Linked DNA regions of Kluyveromyces lactis. The protein of the gene in region 1 purifies or fractionates together with the protein of each later gene. This does not show direct contact. Links are inferred from orthologs where the notes say so. Each region holds a gene or a part of one and is shown in the gene's direction. Other genes may lie near its edges.

What was found. The genes of interacting proteins can lie anywhere in the genome.
Region 2: the proteins of SUA7 (region 1) and SSU72 purify together in Saccharomyces cerevisiae (affinity purification with western blotting; 4 studies listed by BioGRID, with this or other methods). This does not show direct contact. The link is inferred for Kluyveromyces lactis from reciprocal best matches to the Saccharomyces cerevisiae genes SUA7 and SSU72.
Region 3: the proteins of SUA7 (region 1) and TAF1 purify together in Saccharomyces cerevisiae (affinity purification with mass spectrometry; 3 studies listed by BioGRID). This does not show direct contact. The link is inferred for Kluyveromyces lactis from reciprocal best matches to the Saccharomyces cerevisiae genes SUA7 and TAF1.

The regions. Positions count from the first base shown.
Region 1 is NC_006040.1:1,173,629-1,179,432, forward strand, and holds SUA7 (transcription factor TFIIB), read left to right. Parts: upstream 1-2,972; coding exon 2,973-4,046; downstream 4,047-5,804. Other genes in the region: PAC2 (Pac2p), read right to left, coding at 1-73; RNA-binding GTPase NUG1, read right to left, coding at 449-2,041; YND1 (apyrase), read right to left, coding at 4,551-5,804. UniProt on the Saccharomyces cerevisiae protein: General factor that plays a major role in the activation of eukaryotic genes transcribed by RNA polymerase II.
Region 2 is NC_006040.1:1,644,774-1,647,122, reverse strand, and holds SSU72 (RNA polymerase II subunit A C-terminal domain phosphatase), read left to right. Parts: upstream 1-1,225; coding exon 1,226-1,849; downstream 1,850-2,349. Other genes in the region: cysteine protease ATG4, read left to right, coding at 1-793; GUD1 (guanine deaminase), read right to left, coding at 1,930-2,349. UniProt on the Saccharomyces cerevisiae protein: Component of the cleavage and polyadenylation factor (CPF) complex, which plays a key role in polyadenylation-dependent pre-mRNA 3'-end formation and cooperates with cleavage factors including the CFIA complex and NAB4/CFIB.
Region 3 is NC_006037.1:879,454-883,519, reverse strand, and holds the start of TAF1 (histone acetyltransferase), read left to right. Parts: upstream 1-1,266; coding exon 1,267-4,066. Other genes in the region: RNH70 (Rnh70p), read left to right, coding at 1-53; RTT102 (Rtt102p), read right to left, coding at 249-710. UniProt on the Saccharomyces cerevisiae protein: Functions as a component of the DNA-binding general transcription factor complex TFIID. Binding of TFIID to a promoter (with or without TATA element) is the initial step in pre-initiation complex (PIC) formation.

The DNA.
Region 1 (5,804 bases):
GCAATGATCCGATGTATCGTACTGTGCAAAACTCACCTCCTATATTCAATCTATCATTGACATTGATCTGCATATTTGGCCCTAGATTTAGTCACGCTGTACACATAGTGTAGCCTGGAGTTCGTATGGTAGACTCACGGATTATTTCTCTTCTTCACTCTTTTAAACATTTTGATTTTAGTAGGCATTTAAAGTATTATTTAAAGGTTTGTTACCTAAAGAAAAGAGATGACAAAAACGTCTTGCCGAAGAAGATATTAAATCATTTATATGTAGTAGTGTACAAATGTGTATTGTCTATTAGGTGCGTGGACTGAAACGGGTGTTCAAATTCACATCCTAATACATAAGCTTTTAAATCTATAGCTTTAACGATGCGAAATAAAATAAGCAATAGGATCCTTGATCGTATTTCATAGAGATGCAGAATAATTCGTTTTCTGTGTTCTCAATTACCTAAGTTGTCTTGTTCAGCTTCAATGGCGTTATCCAATGACGCGAAAAGACCATCCAAATCGAATTCCTTGGACCATTCTTGAACAATGGTCGTTTGTTCCACCTTAGCTGGTGCTGCGACAGCACCAGTACCTAGAGTTGGTTGGTTAGCTTCACCAGATGTAGCAGCATGTTCTGCAGCAGATTCCTTAGAAGCATTGGGTAGAACCCATCCTAGGATCTTACCATCTCTCCAATCGTTAAGAACGGATATACCAGCGCTGGCCAAGTTTGGAACACCGCCCTTACCTAATCTACCTCTCTTACGGGCGATATGGATCAAGAATTGTTTGGTGAAAGAGTCTGCATCGGCAGCTGGGATAGGTGGTAATTCGTACAACTTCTTGAAACTTTCAGTCATTTCTTCAGATTTAGAAAGTCTCTTCACTAATTTGAGCACAGCTGGGTAAGGATCTATGATGAATTTTGGAGGTAGAGCGTTCAACAAGGCCAACTCTGCTTCTTGTTCCACTCTACTCATCTTTTTATTTTCACTTGGGAAACAAATACCTGGAGAATCCAAGATCTTTAGCTTGTTATCTACCTTGACTTCTCTCATAGATGTAGTGACACCAGCTTGGTTACCCACTGGACATGCTTTAGAAGAACCACCACGGCGAGAGGTCAATGCGTTAATGACAGACGACTTACCGACGTTTGGATAACCGATGACACCAACAACGATGGATCTCTTCAAGTTTGAATTATTGGAGTAAGTCTTCAAAGCTTCTAACAAGCTTGAAGCAGTTGTAGCCTGAGTCAAAGTCCTGTTGAAAGATGTGGAGTTAGTGGCACCAGGAGCAGCTCTCAATGGAATAGTAGGGAACGAGGATTTCAAAAAGGTTAACCATTGTTGCAACACGTATGGTGGCACTAAATCGATCTTGTTCAAGATCAAAATTAGTCTCTTACCCTGGGATTGAAGCACGGCCTGTTCCACTCTTCTCGATCTAGTTCCTTCTGGATCTCTTGCATCTAGCACGTAAAGGATAACATCGGACGCATCCACCACAGTCTTGAATATCTTATCGTAAGCCTTTCTAGACTTTTCTAATTCAGAATCATCATCATCTGCGTCAGCGTAAAAGTCTACGTCGTATTCAGCAACCTCTAAATCCTCTTGCTCTCCATTCATTGTATCATCGATACCTTCCCCATTGTACTCCTTTGCAGCTTGCTGAGCGGATTCTAACAAAGCAGAAAGACCATTGTTGCCGTCGTTTTCATCTTCATCCATAGATTCATCGTCATCACCAACATCTTCACCTAGTTCACGAGTTCTTCTCTTAGCCTCTAACCTTTCCTGCTTTCTACGTTCTTTCTCCTCCAAATCAGTTCTTCTCTTCGCTTCAATCTCTTCGATGATCCTGTTCTTGTACGGGAAATTGGCCGGAATACCTGGATCCTTACTCTTATTGGATTTCCATGTCACATCCTTCTTAGCAAGTTTCCGCTCTTTCCTATGTTGAGCAGCAGCCTTCTTCTTGATACCCTCCTTCATACGAGTGGAAGTTCTCTTGGAAGTTCTCTTTCTTACTCTCACCATCTCTTTTGATTAATGGAAAAAGGTATATTTACTGCACTGGATTATAGATATCTTAGCTGTTCCGGTGAACTTATCACGGAAAACAGTACTGAAACATCTACTTGAACAGGTGTTCTGTAAATATCAAGTCTCATCTCATCTCATCTCATCTCATCGCAGGTTTTAACATATTTCGAAGAGCTGAAAAATTTCAAAGTAGAAAAGAATTTCTTTTTGCTGGCGGACGACAGTGGAAACACAGTGGATACTCGTCAATTACGAGGCAATCTTATGCTACTCGCAAGCCATAATTTGTGTCAATAATATTTGGGACGTATTTGGTATATCTATGAGCACTTCCAGGCAGATATTTAACATTATATATACAGTAATACCGTCAAGGGCAGTGAAACTGTCAGTACATATAAAGGCAGCCCAGTAGCCGTTGCGCAGTTTTTTTTGACACTAGCAGGGAACAAAAATCATCTCAGTAATAAGAACTGATATAACGTGATATACGATACGAAGTTGCGAGGGTGGAACTTGTTTTACCACATCTCTCATCCTCTCTACTTCCAGTCAGTGTAGTAATAACTGCGAAGTTATTACTTGTTACCCGGATCTCGTGAAAATTTTCATCAACCGTAAACAAGAGACATGCCACGGTTGTTTCTGTGGCGTTTATCACGTGATATATATTTCCGTCGAGTTTCCAGCATTTTTGCTTAGAAATTGAGAAACTAAAATGATAAGGAGCTATCCAGTTGCAACTTACACAGTCTTGTCCGTCTACTAGTTGGTTAATCGGTATTTCTTCTGTTCTTTTATAACAAAAGCAGCGCCTAAGTTTAGTTATCTTAGCGGCTCATCATTCGACTTCTTACCGTTCAGTTTCCAGCTATTTTTTTAGGCTGTTCTGAGTCATATACCGAGGCAAGAGAAAAGAGAAACTATGTCATTGCCAGCAGCAGCTTCAGCAAATGTAGCTGTCTCATCTAGAAGGAGGGGGCCAAATTTGAACATTGTTATATCGTGTCCCGAATGTAAAGTTTATCCTCCGAAAGTTGTGGAACGGTTTAGTGAAGGTGATATCGTCTGTGCATTATGTGGGTTAGTCTTATCGGATAGAATTGTGGATACCAGGTCAGAATGGCGTACTTTTAGCAATGACGATCAGAATGGAGACGATCCAAGTCGTGTTGGTGAAGCTTCAAATCCTTTGTTGGATGGAAACCATTTAACCACACGTATCGGGCAGGCCCAGGGAAGTGATGCTAGAGTTACTAGGGATTTGAATAGGGCTCAGTCGAAATCTATCGTTGACAAGAAGGATAACGAGTTGCAAGCTGCATATGCGAAGATTACTATGATGTGTGATGCTGCAGAACTGCCCAAGATTGTTAAAGATTGTGCTAAAGAAGCTTATAAATTATGCTTCGAAGAGAGAGTCTTGAAGGGGAAATCACAGGAAAGTATCATGGCTTCAGTTATTCTTGTCGGATGTCGGAGAGCAGAGGTCGGGAGATCTTTCAAGGAAATCTTATCCTTGACTAACGTGCGGAAGAAGGAAATCGGGAAGACGTTTACCATCATCAAGAACATTCTAAGAGAAAAGAATGATAGAGGGTTTGCCAATATTGATACTTCAAATATCACCACAGGACAGACAAGTGCAGAGACTTTCATCCCTAGATTTTGTTCTCATTTGGGCCTTTCAGTGCAGGTGGCTAATGCTGCAGAGTACATCGCGAAACACTCTAAGGATGTCAATGTCTTGGCTGGTAGATCTCCTATCACCATCGCAGCAGCAGCTATCTATATGGCAACTCTACTATTCAAATTGAATATCAGTCCTACAAGAATCTCTCAGACTTTACAAGTCACAGAAGGTACCGTGAAAGGTGGATACAAAGCATTATACGAACACAAAGAAAAAGTGGTCGACCCACAACTGATAGAATCTGGTGTCGTGAAATGGGACAACCTTCCTAGAGTCAGTAATGACAAAAGTGAGAAGGCTAATTGATTATTAACAATACCCATTACAAAAACCCAAAAAAAAAAGAATATTAATACTAACATTAAAAAAAAATCAAGAAAAGAAAACCATTAGTTGGGAAGAATACCCAGTTTCCAAATTTGAATTGAATATCCTATAAAATTCTCGGATCAACTATAATATACATAAATTCTTTCCCTATCTTTTTCATTGCATCTAACACATTATTTGAACTTTATAACTTTCTTTCTCAGAAACTTAATTGGTGTATGATTTATTATACCTCGAGTTATGCAATTGAATAGATTTCTGTTTCGAAACTGTGTTTCAAGTCTATAGGATAAAGTATATGGACCTACGTACACGTCGAAAGAACCAAAAACTTAAAAAAAATAAAATACTTTAATGGATTTACTCTCGTCTTCCAATGTTTAAAGCATAGTTATGGTTGGCGTTCTTTCAGTAATGCAGATCTTTTGTATATTGATTAAAGGATGTTAATTACTTTGTATTCTTATGAAAGTACATATCTTAGTCTTTATTCGTGTTCTTGAACTTCGAGAAATCGGCCATTGAAAATACTGGTCTCATCCCTTGGTTCGGTAATGAAGTGTTTTTCCTATCCCTATCTGACAGTGGATAAGAATCTTTACTATCAAGGGAATCGCCTAAATTCATCATACTTCTACTTCTGAAATTTGAGCTGTTTTCCATTTCTTGACGACCAAATCTACCCCGATTAACGGTACCTTCTTCCAATTTTCCTAGCATGTCTTCTTCTTGAGCCAGTTTGCTATATGTTTTAAGTTTGCAGAAACTTGTTTTCACTGCATTGATACCATCAAATATCTTGTGTTTGGGGAATTGTCTAGCGAATCTGAATTTGCTAATGATAAGATATATCGAACCGAGCACTAATGAAATTATGAAAATGTGAATTATTGTTTGTTTCAATGATACTCCGAAGGATGCGTTATTGACTGGCTGTTGGAGGGACAGGATGGCTCCCGGAATGAATTGCTTGCCGTCTTTCTTTTCATCCATGGGACTTGGCATTATACCAACAGTGGCGCTTGCGTCTCCGGCAACGACAAGTCCCGAAGCGTACATTAAAATTCTACCTAACGTCCAGGTTACGTCTTGGTTGTTAATTTTTTCAACACTCTGGAATGGAACATGTCTATCATCGTCGCTTTTTGAGTCGTCTGGAATGTCTATATCCATCCTAGGAAGGTCAAAGCCCTCATGTAAGACGTTCAATATCCAGTTCGCCTTGAAACAACTATCCAGTAAGAAGTCATCTGGTATATTGTTGTACACTCCATTAGCGTTGTTCTCTTTCAACGTATTCCAATCAGATTCACAGAATTCTTTGACGTTCTTCGAGAATTCATGGAAATTATACTCCCCACTCATCTTGAACACATCATTTGCTGTATACCAGTACTCTGAAATACCCACAAACTTATCTTGTTCAAAATTAATCCTTGGTGCATGTACACCATTGAAGAGACAAGGTTCTTCTAAGCAAGGTAGATTGTTCAAAAGTAACGGATACATCGACTTCATACAATGTACAAAGTCACCAGCACCTGTGATTTCGAAATCTCTATCCTTGAACTCAAACTCGGTTTTTGCTCCCTTCGGTAAACATGGATCGCTAATATATCTTGTCTTGTAGTCGTCATCATCTTCCTCATTTGCGTTTTCAGGTAACGAATTAATTAGTTGAGCCAAATACCTAGACCTTGCCCTATTGGCTCCAAACCCCAACCATGTACTCAC
Region 2 (2,349 bases), about 470 kb from region 1:
TGGGCAGTGGTTTGGGCCAAGCGCAACAGCCAGAAGCATAAAAACATTGATTGAAGGGTTTCCCCTTTGTGGAATTAAGAATTGTATAATTTCAACTCAGTCGGCAGATATATACGAAGATGAGGTCACAAGAATTTTTCATAAGGATAGGGATGCTAATTTACTTCTGCTGTTTGCTGTCAGGTTGGGTGTTGACAAAATCAACAGCTTATACTGGAAAGACATATTCAAGATTCTCTCATCACCATATTCTGTCGGGATCGCAGGCGGTAAACCCTCGTCATCATTATACTTTTTTGGATATCAAAATGAAAATCTTTTCTACCTTGATCCACACAACACTCAGCAATCTTCTTTAATGATGGATGATCTTGAATTTTACCGAAGTTGTCACGGACACAAATTCAACAAATTGCATATATCAGAAACAGATCCGTCAATGTTACTCGGTATGTTAATTTCAGGTAAGAATGAATGGGATCAGTTTCATACTTATTTCAGAGATAGTCAAATTATTCAATTTTTGACAACCAGGCCAGAAAATGATTTATATCAAAGTGCCAATATGTCTGTCGGTTCTGATTCTATTCACTCATTGGAGTCAGACATACAGGACACTGGAGAATACGTTGATGTTGGAACATTAGTTTCTGGCAAACAAATGTCCTCCCCGCAACCAAAAGATGAAGAATTTGAAGATGTTAAATGCAAAAGCCAGCGAATAATCGTCTGCGAAGATCCAGCTGATCCTGAAGTTGAACAAGTTCTTGTCGAGGATTCATCCTCCTGCTGACTGCTGTATCTTCCTCATTCTTTGTTTAAGATATTATATTAAATATTAGTATCATTATATAATATGGATCCTTCGGCTGTCAAGCACCTAATTCAGCCACAAATAAGGACAGGCTTTGGTAATCGGGTGTAACGGAAGTGACCTTGAACTTATACTAATTACCAATCTATAATTCTATTAAGATTATTACAAGCGTCGCATTTCCGGGTAATATTATTATCTAGCTGCACATTGATAAAATTGACTTTGTTAAGAGCTTCAATGAAAGTTACAAGATATTCATAATTGGTAACCGAAATGGTAGACAGCCCATACTTGCATTTCATATTCAATTATTATAACTCTCATTTTCATACAGTGTTGTCTGCTTAGTGCTACCAGAATAGATAATTTGACTAAAAGTTATTACGAATCTAAGAGGAACTATTAGGCATGAGCGAATCAATGAGAAATAGCGGGCTTAAGTTCTGTACTGTGTGTGCATCTAACAACAACAGGTCCATGGAGTCCCATAGGGTATTGGAAGAGGCAGGGTATGATGTTTCTAGTTACGGTACTGGAAGTGCAGTTAGACTTCCAGGTCTCTCGATAGATAAACCAAATGTGTATTCATTTGGTACGCCTTATGATGATATATATAATGACTTGATTTCTCAAAGTGAAGATAGATACAAGCAAAATGGTGTATTAGAAATGTTAGATCGTAACAGGAAGTTAAAAAAAGCTCCTGAGAAATGGCACGATGGGAGAAAGGTTTTTGATTTCGTTTTTACCTGTGAAGAAAGGTGTTTCGACTCTGTGTGCGAGGACCTGATGAATAGAGGTGGTCAGCTTAATCTAATTGCACATATTATCAATATCGATATCAAAGATGATAATGAAAACGCTAAAATTGGTGGGCGAGCAATATTAAGATTGGCAGATATGCTAAGAGATAAAGTTTTTGAATGTGAGAAAAACGGAACTCAATTTGAGGATTTTATAATGGATGTCTTCACTGAATGGCAAGAGAAATATCCAAAACTACCACTAACTTATTCTGCTGCATATTATTAGTTCTATTTCATCTTGAGTTATATATCATGCTATTCTTGTTTTGCATACTTATTTCGATGGAATTGTAAGCTAACGATTAGTTAAAGATTTTGATGGCACAATTTTCCACGGACCCAAACACTTTTAACATTCCTATCATCACCATTAAATAACCATTTTGCCACAATATTCTCCAGTTTGATTCTATCCTTCCCGTTCGGTTGAATTTTGTCGTTGGTAACTTTTTGCCATGGAAAAATGGATACGTTGCTTCCTTTGGTGGATAAATCTATCAATTGTGCGTCAAACTCTTTCCCTACGTCGAAACTACCAATTTTATCAGACAGATTTAAAACTTTAGCACCACCCATGGTAGCTAGATACAATACTTCGGCGACAGATAGTTTGCATTCCTCTTTTCTTTCAGGATCTTCTACTGACATTGCTCGATGTCTGGAAACTAGTAAAGCTTGCCTAGCATTTTCCAAAATACTGACTGTAAAACCACCGGAAACATCAGA
Region 3 (4,066 bases), on another chromosome or scaffold:
CCATCTCATTTATGACTATCAAAACCAACAACGTGAATAATGAAAGCCAATAGTTTTATATAGTAATGTCTCAAACGCACACATACGTCCTATGTGGAGAACAAAAGCGGTGATGGTTTTTCCTGCTTGCCCTCCTTTGGATGAAGGACTGTCTTTATCTTATTCGAGAGTGGGCGTCCAGGCCACATTCTGGATTCCATGAATCGTAGTAAAATTACAGTATATAGGTGTAATCGTTATATAATGAATCATTCCATCTTTACGTCGCCTTCTTGGTCTTTTACCTCTGCCGGTGTATCTTCAGCCGGAGTTTCTTCCGCTGGAGTTTCAACCACAGGAGTTTCAACAGCAGCTTCACTCTCGGCTTCTTTCTTAGCATCCGATCCTGAGAACCCAGGAATGTCAGAACCACCAACAGCTCCTCTTATATCGTTAATTGAGAGTGAATCTGGGCCACTTTTCTCCTGGACACGAGCATTTTTCTTAGCTATCTTCGTCCTATCAAATTCATCTAAGTTAAGAACATCTGTATCATCCTCAACTACATCTCTCAAAGGATGATCTTTTTTTACCCATTGCTTGAACTTATATTTTACCTTCTCATCAGTACCATTTTCATTTTGTTTAGCAGTAGTGGACCATTCGTATTCCCAATGCTTTGCATCGGTCGTGAAACCTCCAAGACGATTTGCCCTACTTATCAAAGACATTCTCACTTTCTGTTAAGTATATGGCTCAGTGTGTAAATTTGCTGAAATAATTGGCCGAGTTAGTCGATCTAACACCTAAAAGATTGTCGCATTGTACCTTTAGATCTCTGCTCGCACTGTTAAGCTTTAAGCTCTTGATGTTTGGCTTTAATTTCATGTTGGCAGAATTATCAACAAAAATTGACCTTAAATGGGATAAAATGGTCGATTAATAGGTCAGCGAACCACTTATTGAAACGAAAAGCCAGTAAATGAGATGAGTGCATGCTACACATTGCATATAACCTTGTTAATTCGAGTGAAGTGGCCAATCTGGGCCATGATAGTGGTTTATGTTACATGGATTGCACTGAAATTACGTTACCCGGTCTCTGGATTGATCCCTCAATATCAAAATCTAAACAAAGTTGAAGAGCTGATATGTACATTTCAGTAAAGAGTGCTCGAAGTCATAAAAAGGGTGGTTAAATAGGTTCATTCAACTCTGTGAGCCAATATTTCTGTCAATAACAGAATTCTAATCTGATTCCAGTCATAATACACCCATTTTTGCGAAATGCCTAGGGTTGCTGGAAGCTCAGGAAGCAAGAAACAAGGCAAGGCAAAGAAGGATTTCAGCAATGAAGATGATGCGTATAACGCTCTATTTGGTGGTGAGTTTGGGGCATTAGATATTAGTAATTATACTAGTGGTGGCGGCAATGGTAAGCAAGATGAAACAGAGCATCTGCCGAATGCTATTGATTTTGAAGATGAAGATGAATTGGCAGATGAAGAATTACCGGAGGAAGAAGAGCCATCCCATTCTCCGAACAGGCATAATGAAGGGTCGTTTCAGCGGAGTCTGACTGAAGACGACGAATATATGACTCTGATGGACCATGGTGATGTGATGCATGAAGTTGACGCTGCTGGATTTGAAGTACAAGGTAATAATGCATTGTTCATGGAGAGCACATATCAGTCATTTGGTCCAGAACAACACCAATTTAACGAATATGATGAGCAACACAGGAGGTTAATGGAGGAACAGCGAAGGAAACAAGAGGAACAAAATGCGAAGGAAGAACAGTTATTATTTCAGTCTTATTTCCCTGAGCTAAAGCCGGGTAGAGTCCTAAGAATGACCAAGATAGCTCCAAAACCGTTGGCGAAGTATCAATGGCAAAGGGAGTTATACCTTCGAAACAGAATTTTAAAACCTCTCATACCCATTAAAGTGAAGTTTCAAGTTCAAAAGGATACAAAAAAATTGTTCAAGATGAGGAGTAAAAGCGTAAAGCCTTGGCAAAGTGCTATAAGCGAGTTCTCTGAAGTTCAACGAAGAAATGTTATCAAAGTAGCATACGATGAGATATATAAAGAAGATACTGTAGATGACAAGAAAGATGAGCACGATGAAGTGATACCGGAAGATCTTCTCATTGTAGCTGATGAATGGGATTATGAGAAAATTGTTGACGATAGAGAAAATGAGGAGCCAATGACGAGTAACAAGAGGAATCCGCCAGCAGTTGAGAACACTTTAGAAGAAGATGGGAAAGACTGGGAATGGAACGAAGATGATATCATAAATGGTAAGGTGAGTGCTAAAGAACCGCCAATTGATATGAATGATGAGCGATTACTTATTTTGCCTAATGAGAATAAAATCGAATCGGCACAAAAGGTCGTTAAACCTCTAATACCATATAATGAGAAATCTCTACTAGCAAAGTTCAACATCTCTAACGATGACACTTACAAGATTTTGAAAAAGAACTATCAAAAAAAGATCAGATCTACAATTTCGAATTTGAATATAGAACATTCTCAACCGGCGACGCGCCTACAATCTCCATTCTACAAAGTTGTGTTACCAAAAGATCAGTTGAGACACTTTCATAGAAATCATTTCGGGAAACGGATTCGTCCTGGTACCAACATAGTGTTCAGTAAGATAAAGACCCGTAAGAGAAAGAAGGATAAAGGTAAGGATGTGCACGAAATTTTCCAACATTCTGCGGACTTGACTGTTGGTGACAGTGCTCAAGTGTTCCTGATGGAATACAGTGAACAGCAACCTGTTGCGTTATCTAAATTTGGTATGGCTAACAAGCTTATCAATTATTATAGAAAGACGGGAGAAACAGACAGCTCCAGACCAAAATTACCCGTTGGTGAGACTCATGTATTAGGTGTGCAGGATAAATCACCATTTTGGAATTTTGGTTTCGTCAGTCCAGGAAACATTGTTCCCACTTTATATAACAATATGGTCAGAGCCCCCGTTTTCAAACATGAGGTCTCTAAGACCGATTTCCTTCTGGTGAAAAGTCTTGGTAATGGGTCCGGTAACAGATTCTATTTGCGTCAAATTAATCATCTCTTTGCTGTCGGTCAAACGTTCCCAGTGGTCGAAGTTCCTGGTCCGAATTCTAGAAAGGTTACTGCTATGGGTAAGAACCGTTTGAGGATGGTTGTGTATCGTATTTTGAACAAATCTCCGGAAAACAGACTGTTAGTGAAACAGGTGGCTCGTCATTTCCCAGAACAAAATGATATGCAAAACAGACAAAGATTAAAGGAATTCATGAAGTATCAACGTGAAGGTGATGATCAAGGTTTCTGGAAACTAAAGGAGGGAGAAGTTTTACTGGATAACGAAAACGTGAAGAAAATGGTTACTCCTGAAGATGTTTCACTCGTTGAATCCATGTATTATGGTCAACAGTTCCAGGAAGATATTGATTTCTACAACTTCGATGAAAGAGCTAAGGAGTTGGAGGAGAACTTAATATTTTGGAATGCTACCAAGAATTTCTTGAATGCTACACAGATGAGAGCAATGATTCAAATACATGGACCTGGTGATCCTACTGGTTGTGGTGAAGGTTTTTCGTTTTTGAAAACCTCTATGAAGGGTGGGTTTGTAAAATCCGGTTCAAAGGATCAACCGCAAATTGCTGGTGGTCATAGTTACAATGTCGCGCAACAACAGAAAGCATATGAAGAAGAAATAAGTAGGACGTGGTATAACCAAGCCAAGTCTTTAAGCATTCAAAATCCCTTTGAAGAAATGGATGATCCAGATATCGTTAATGAAAGTAATAAGCATGTTCCCTCGACAAGACCTGACGAGAAAGTGTTACGGATTACTAGAAAGAAGAGAGATTCCAACGGTATCATTCAACGACAAACTGTTATAGTCAGAGACCCTAGGGTCATTCAAGGTTACTTACGTGCGTATGAAAAGAGGCGTGAAGAGGCGGAGCGTAATTTGGGTCTTGATGAATTGATCAACGATAACATAACCATTGTTGGCGGTGAGAACGAAGAGGAAAGGCAATTGAAGCAAAAGAAACTATTGGAAGAAC